Sus scrofa: one gene and its partner. The protein of the gene in region 1 purifies or fractionates together with the protein of each later gene. This does not show direct contact. Links are inferred from orthologs where the notes say so. Each region holds a gene or a part of one and is shown in the gene's direction. Other genes may lie near its edges.

The links. The genes of interacting proteins can lie anywhere in the genome.
Region 2: the proteins of HSPBP1 (region 1) and EDRF1 purify together in Homo sapiens (affinity purification with mass spectrometry; 3 studies listed by BioGRID and IntAct, counting the BioPlex papers as one, with this or other methods). This does not show direct contact. The link is inferred for Sus scrofa from reciprocal best matches to the Homo sapiens genes HSPBP1 and EDRF1.

The regions. Positions count from the first base shown.
Region 1 is NC_010448.4:59,457,846-59,461,859, reverse strand, and holds part of HSPBP1 (hsp70-binding protein 1), read left to right. Parts: intron 1-612; coding exon 613-817; intron 818-2,396; coding exon 2,397-2,621; intron 2,622-4,014. UniProt on the Homo sapiens protein: Inhibits HSPA1A chaperone activity by changing the conformation of the ATP-binding domain of HSPA1A and interfering with ATP binding. Interferes with ubiquitination mediated by STUB1 and inhibits chaperone-assisted degradation of immature CFTR.
Region 2 is NC_010456.5:135,069,345-135,073,358, forward strand, and holds part of EDRF1 (erythroid differentiation-related factor 1), read left to right. Parts: intron 1-1,829; coding exon 1,830-1,988; intron 1,989-2,169; coding exon 2,170-2,319; intron 2,320-4,014. UniProt on the Homo sapiens protein: Transcription factor involved in erythroid differentiation. Involved in transcriptional activation of the globin gene.

The DNA.
Region 1 (4,014 bases):
GAGGCTTTACTCTGATGACTCTCAAGTGTGTATCTCCACACCAGTGGTTCTCTCCTGAAAGTGGTTTTAACCACATTTAGCAATGTGTGGAGACATTCTTGGTTGTCGTCCATTGGGTAGGGGAAGGCCAGGGGTGCTGTTCAACATAGTACAGTGCACAGAATGCCCCCCGCCCCCGGAACTGTCCCGCTTAAAGTGTCAGCAGCGTGCAGCTTCAGAGATCCAGGTCGGGAGTTCCCATCGTGGCGCAGTGGTTAACAAATCCCACTAGGAACCATGAGGTTGGGGGTTCAATCCCTGGCCTTGCTCTGTGGGTTAAGGATCCGGCGTTGCCGTGAGCTGTGGCGTAGGTCGCAGACTCGGCTTGGATCTCAGCTTGGATGTCTCATTGCTGTGGCTCTGGTGTAGGCTGGCAGCTGCAGCTCCGATTCAACCCCTAGCCTGGGAACCTCCATATGCTGGGGGAGTGGCCCAAGAAATGGCAAAAAGACAAAAAAAAAAAAAAATTTTATTGCAGTATGGTTGATTTACAGTGGCTGTTGTTGGTGATGACTGTTATTCATGAATTAATTATTGGTAAAGTTTGCCTCTTTCTTCCACCTCACTCCCCAGAGGCGCCAGTGGCTGCAGGAGGCCATGTCGGCCGCCTTCCGGGGCCAGCGAGAGGAGGTGGAGCAGATGAAGAACTGCCTCCGGGTGCTGTCCCAGCCCACACCCTCCTCAGCTGGTGAAGCTGAACTGGCTGCTGACCAGCAGGAGCGTGAGGGGGCCCTGGAGCTGCTGGCCGACCTGTGTGAGAACATGGACAACGCTGCAGGTACAGCCAGCCCACCTCGGCCTGCCTCTGGCTGCCAGGGTCCTGCCTCTTCTGCCTCCTGGCTTCCCTCTGCAGCCCAGCCCTTGTCCTTTGGCTCAGGGACCTCTGGCTCAGCCTCCTCCCCAGCCTCCCAGCCTCCAGCCTCACCCTTGCCGTCTGGCTCCGATTCAGGCCCCCGGTGGGACTCCCTGTCCCTCCCTGCTCGGTTCACTTGCCGTCAGGAGCATTGATGGCTGCAGGTTCAGTCCACCACCTCACCGATGCTCTCTGAAACTGGCCACGTCGCCCTCCTCTGCTGGGAGTCCATGGCCACTTCAGAGTAAGCCACAGGAAGTGTTCCTTGATGGGGGAGCCAGAGAGGCCCTCCCCGAGGGTGACACTTGGTTAGAGACCTAAAGCGAGGGCTCAAGTCATGGAATTAGCTCTGGAAAAGGCATTCCAGGAAGAGGGCACGGCCTGTGCCAAGGCCCTGCGGTGGGAACGCACCCGACATGTTCGGGAACAGCAGTGAGGCCAGCACAGCAGAGTGGAGGCCAGGAAGTGACACCAGGCACACCTGGCCTCATGGGCCAAGGTGGTGCTGTGGCTCTTACTCTCGGTGCCGAGAAGCTGACTGATGGACGAGTCGTCACTTCCACTTGGAGGGGCGTCGGTGTGGTTGTCGAGGATCTGGGTTTATCTGTCCTGGACATTGACGGATGAGGGGTCGTAGAAGGCATGACCTTTTGCAGCTGCCTTCCTTCCCTGAGGGTGATGTTTTCAAGGTTCTTCCACGTTGTGACTGGTATCAGAACTTTATTCCTTTCTGTGGTTAAGGCTGCGTGTCATGGATCCATTCATCAGCTGATGGGTATTTGGGGCAGCTACCCCTGGGTTATTGCACATGATGCGGCTGTGAACACTGGCGTGCAGGTGCCCAGTGGAGTTCCTGCTTTCACCGCTTTGGGAGATAACTAGGTGTCTTCGCTGATGACTTTCTGAGGAAGCGCCAAGCTCGCCAATAGGAAAACAGCCGGTGGGCTGTAGTTTGCAGATCACTGGTTTGGCGTGTGCTTCTCCCACAGGGCATGTCCTGGTGGTCACAGAGACGGGGTGTCCGGGCTGGCATTGAGGGGGCCGGAGCCTGGGAGCCCTGACCCTCCAAATGCTGACATCGTCGAGACACACTGTCCTTGGAGAGAGCCAGCCCTCGGAGGCAGGCTCCCCTTTGCCCTAAGAAAGCACCGCGGATTGGGGCTGAAACAGCAGAAGTCTACTTTCTCATAGTTCCGAGGCTGGAAGCCTGAGCATTGGTGTCTTCTGAGGCCCTTCCGGGCTCGTAGACGGCGCTCTTCTCACTGTATCCTCTTGTGGTTCCTCCTCCGTGGGTGTCTGTGTCCTGATCTCTTCTTATGAGGACACCAGTCATATTGGACCGGCGCCCCATCCTGTGACATCATTTCGCCTTAATCGCCTCCTTAATGGCCTGTCCCCAAATACAGTACTTCCTAGGACCCTGGGGGTTAGGACTTCAGTGGAAAGTTGGGGGTGGGCACAGCTCAGCCCGTCACACCTGTCTGCTCCCCTCTCTCCCACACAGACTTCTGCCAGCTATCTGGCATGCACCTGCTGGTAGGCCGCTACCTGGAGGCGGGCCCCGCGGGGCTGCGGTGGCGGGCGGCACAACTCATCGGCACATGCAGCCAGAACGTGGCGGCCATCCAGGAGCAGGTGCTGGGCCTCGGTGCCCTGCGCAAGCTGCTGCGCCTGCTGGATCGGGACCCCTGCGACTCGGTGCGCGTCAAGGCCCTCTTCGCCATCTCCTGTGAGTGTCCTGGGGCCGGGCTGGCAGGGTGGGGCCTGGGTCCACAGGGCAGGCGCCAGCCCTCCGATCTGCTTCAGGGCAGAGGGAGGGGGGCCTCATTTGTTGTTTATTCCCAGCACCTGTCGGGTCTCTGCTTGGTGCTGGGAACAGAGCTGTGCACTTGCCACCCGCTGCACTGGTCAGAGAGCCAGATCCTGGCGACACAGGACAAGGGCCCGCTCGAGTGCTTTTGGGCCCCCTCAGGGCTCTCAGCCAAAGTCCTGTTGCCATCTGGGACCTGATCACCCCCGTCATTGTGGAGGGGGCTCTCCAGGGGGCTGCTTGAGTGTCCTCACAACGTGTTAGCGGGCTTCTCCCAGAGCGTGCCAGCCAGGGTGCCAGGCAGGAGCTCCGAGAACTACAGTGCCTTTTATCTTTTTTTTTTTTTTGGTACCAACCCCTCTCTTGCCCCTTCCTCTCCCCTCTCCTTGCTGGTAACCTCTAGTTTGTTCTCTGCGTCTGTGAGTCTATTTCATTTTTGTTGTATTCAGTAGTTTGTCTTATTTTTTTAGATTTCAGAGCTAAGTCATTAACCTCAGTATCTGTCTTTTTCTGTCTGATTTATTTCATTTAGTGTAACAACTCCCAGGTCCATCCATGTTGTTGCAAATGACACAATTTCATTTTTTCTTCCTTGTGGCTGAGGCCTTTTATCTTTTTGAAAGTTGATGTTGGAGTTCCCCTTGGGGCTCAGGGGGCTAAGAACCTGACATGGTGTCCGTGAGGATGTGGGTTTGATCCCTGGCCTCGCTCAGTGGGTTAGGGATCTGGCGTGGTGATGGCTGTGGCAGCCTCTGGTGCCCAGGGCGGCCCCTGTGACACAGAATGATGTGGCGCCACCTGTCAGCTTTGCCAGGTGGCGAGGCCCTGTGTGAAGGGAAGGGTTGCTCCTGGACACATCATGACGGCGGAGCCAGCGATGGAGAGGCTTAGTCATGTCTACCCCTCCTCATAGGCTGGTACTTTTTTTTTCTTTTTTTTTTTTGTTAATTGGATGACATTTTATTTAACCCCTTATATTTAAATTATTGTCATTTCAGCCCCTCATTATGTGGAGTGCTAACGAGATACCTTGCATTTCTTTTTCCCCACGCTTTGTCCTTTTTTTTTTTGAGGGCCACACCTGCAGCATATGGAGGTGCCCAGGGTAGGGGTCAAATTGGAGCTGCAGCTGCCGGCCTACACCACAGCCACCAGCAATGGGGGATCTGAGCCGCGTCTCTGACCTACACCACAGCTCATGTTAACGCTGGATCCTTAACCCACCAAGCGAGGCCAGGGATTGAACTGGCGTCCTCATGGATACTGGTCGGGCTTGTAACTGCTGAGCCACAGTGGGAACTCCTCATGTTAC
Region 2 (4,014 bases), on another chromosome or scaffold:
GGAGGAAACGTCCAGTGCAGTAAAGACTGACGTGGACAAGTGACATGGACAGTGACACAAACGAGTGAATCTATAAAAGTTCAGAAGAAAATGCAGTCGGCGTTTATCTGCTAGGATAGGAAAGGACTTTTTCTACATAACACAGTAAGCAAAAATCACATAGTAAATGATGGATTTTTTTTTTTTTTTGTCTTTTTAGGGCTGCTCCCAAGGCACATGGAGGTTCCCAGGCTAGGGGTTGAATTGCAGCTGTAGCCGCCGGCCTACGCCACAGCCGCGGTAATGCCAGATCTGGGCTGCATCTGCAGCCTACACCACAGCTCACGGTGCCAGATCTGTAACCCACTGAGGGAGGCCATGGATTGAACCTGCATCCTCATGGGTGCTAGTCAGATTCATTTCTGCTAAGCCACGACAGGAACTCCAAGATGGATAAATTTAAATGCACAAAAATAATATTTTTTAAATGCACATCAGAAAGCACAATTGAAAAACAGTTCACCATCTAGCAAAAATATGGATAGCACACATGACAGATCAGAGGTTAATAAACCCTTAATCTATCAAGAATAATCAAGAATCATTGAAAATAAACTATGTCAGTAGAGAAAAGGACAGATAACCTTGAAGAAAATGTCATACATGTAAAATAAGGAAAGGGTTAATAGGAAAGCAAAATTTCAAAATACAAAGTTTTAGGAAATTTTAAAATTGAGTTTCCTTTAGCAAACTGTAAATCTGTTTTGGCAAACGGTAGCGTGCAGTTGTTGGAGAGGGTTCAAGAACACAAGAGCACTCATGCCATTGAGGACTTTGACGTTGTTGAAATAACTCAGGACCTCAGATTGTGAGGCTGAGCCGCTGCCCACTGCTTAACGTTAATGAGCAATGTTCATTGCATGGTGAACTTTAAAAAAAAGCGACTTTTGGAGTTCCCGTTGTGGCACAGCAGAAATGAATCTGACTAGGAACCATGAGGTTGCAGGTTTGATTCCTGGCCTCCTTCAGTGGGTTAAGGATCTGGCGTTGCCATGAGCTGTGGTATAGACTGGCAGCTACAGCTCTGATTAGATGCCTAGCCTGGGAACCTCCATATTCTGCGGGTGCAGCCCTAAAAAGACCAAAAAAAGGGGGGGGGTTGTTTGCTTAAATATAATGACCATGTGTTTCAGTAGGGTGGTGGCAGAGGTGGGAAGGGTTGCTTCTTTATACAGTCAAACCCTGCAGGTTTTTTATCCATAGACTTGTGAAATTATTTGTTGCTAGTTATATAAACTATAATCTTCAGGAGAAAGAAAACACTCAAAGGAAGAAAGTGCATCCTCATGCTTCACACAAATCCTAAAACGCTCAGTTGAGCTTATGACAGACTCAAGGTGAAGATGGGGGGTGGGGTGGAGTCCACTTTACTAACTCTCTTCACTTCCTGTATTTTCTCAGAGAATCCCCTTTTATTTATTTTGTGCTTTTTAGCGCTGCACCCGAAGAACATGGAGGTTCCCAGGCTAGGGGTCACATCGGAGCGGCCGCTGCCAGCCTCCACCACAGCCACAGCAACATAGGATCTGAGCCCCATCTGCAGCCTGCACCACAGCTCACGGCAGTGCTGGATACTTAACCCACCGAGCAAGGCCAGCGATTGAACCTGTGTCCTCATGGATGCTAGTCAGAGTGGTTAACCACCGAGCCATGATAGGAACTCCGTAGATTCCCTTTTATAATATCTCTCAAAAATTCATGTCTGAGTGGTTGTGAGGCGTGTTTAACTTTCATGCCATGTGAGCCTGTATTGAAACTGAGCCGTAACGGTCCTCTTCTCTCCCTCGCAGGCTGTCGACTACTATTTGAAAGCTCTTAGGTCCTTGGGCACACGGGACATACACCCAGCTGTTTGGGATTCGGTGAATTGGGAATTGTCCACTACTTATTTTACCATGGCAACGCTACAGCAAGATTATGCTCCGTTATCTAGAAAAGCTCAAGAGCAGGTAAGAATAATTGCTGGATTATGAAAGAAGTCTTAACCTTACTTATTACTTAGTTCTGCAGCAGATAACTGAGCATCTGTTAGAGTCTTTTCCTGGACAAGCAGTATTTGAATGTTTTGAAAAGTCTTACGTGAGATGATGGGCTTGTCATTGTTTTCCTCCCCCTTAAAAAATGAAACAGATTGAAAAAGAAGTCAGCGAGGCTATGATGAAGTCCCTGAAATACTGCGACGTGGACTCGGTGTCTGCTCGACAGCCTCTCTGTCAGTACCGCGCTGCCACCATCCATCACAGGCTCGCCTCCATGTACCACAGTTGTCTGAGGAATCAGGTATTGCCATTCAGTTCAGGTTCAGTGCCAAGGCCCTTAAAAGATGTTCTGGTGGGAACTCCCATTGTGGCTCCGCGGTAACGACTCTGACTAATAGCCATGAGGACGCGGGTTCAGTCCTGGGCCTTGATCAGTGGGTAAGGATCCAGCGTTGCTGTGAGCTGTGGTGTAGACCGGCAGCCTCAGCGCCAGTTCAACCCCTAGCCTGGGAACTTCGTATGCTGTGGGTGAGGCCCTAAAAGGACAAAAAGGAAAAGAAAAAAAAAAAATGTTCTGGTGCTTTGCTTACATATAACTGTATAGCTTTGAAGTGCCATCTATTCTTTCAGCTGCTTGAGAGAAACTTGGAGTGTAGGTATTTTTTCCCTCTCACCCGTGCCATGTGTTTTTCCTACTATGATTGGGTCTTAATTTGAAAAATTATATATTTGCCTGGATTTTTAAAAAATATAGTTAGGTTTTGTAGTTCTGTACCAGTGGTTCTATGGTAATTTTAAAGTATCCATCTCCCGTTTTTAAAAATTTCTATTTGTGAAATAGAGCATGTATATCAAAGCACCTAGAAAATGTATGAGAAGCATATGTACAGTTAAAAGAGTAACAAAGGCGTCCTGTATACCTCACCTTGAGGTGAAGGGTGCTTTAGGGAGCCCCGGGTGCCCTCGCTGTGGAGTCTCGGCCAGATTAACTGCAGTTCTGGGCTGTTACGTTGGTAGCTTTCCTGTGTTGTAAACAGCATGTTTGCATTTTACCTGGTTGTGAGCTTTATAGAGCGAGTCCTGCTGCACGTATTCTTCTATGGCTGATTGCCTTTTACTTAACACCGTGTTTTGAGGATTCTTCCACAGCGATGCATGGAGCTGTTTGTTATCTCAGCTCAGCAGTAGTCATTGAGTGAGCATATCACAGTTTGTTTATTTGTTCTGTAATTCCTGAACTCTGGGATTGTTGTAGTTTGAGGCCATTAGAAATAATAAGATGGGGAGTTCCCGTCGTGGCGCAGTGGTTAACGAATCCGACTAGGAACCATGAGGTTGCGGGTTCGGTCCCTGCCCTTGCTTAGTGGGTTAACAATCCGGCGTTGCCGTGAACTGTGGTGTAGGTTGCAGACGCGGCTCGGATCCCGCGTTGCTGTGGCTCTGGTGTAGGCCGGTGGCTACAGCTCCGATTCAACCCCTAGCCTGGGAACCTCCATATGCCTCGAGGATCGGCCCAAAGAAATAGCAAAAAGACAAAAAACAAAAACAAACAAAAAGAAATAATAAGATGAACAGTCTCGTGTGTGAATCCTGGTGCTCAGACGCACATCCTATTTCCAAGAATAATTCAAGGCCTGAGTTGAGGGTGCTTTCCTTCAGAGAGGGTGCCTTGCTTCTGCCAAGAGTCTTGTGCTTATAGTTTTCTCAGGGATGATTTTTCTTGTTCTGTTGTTTTCTCCTTCTTAGCTCAACCTGCAGTCTCGTGGGTGTGGGTTTTCTTGTGGGTTGTGCTCATCCTCAGCACACTGCCCAGCTTAATCTGGAGACAGCCACTTTGAGCTGGCCCTAGACTCTTTAACCCTTGCCAGCAGAGGGCCCCTGCCTAAAGCCAAGTTTTCCAGGTGGCCTAATAGCCTCACAGCCAGACCAAGCTTGGGAGAGTTCCAAGGCAAATAAATCACTGGGAGAGAGAACTGTCTTTTCAGCAAGTAGTGCT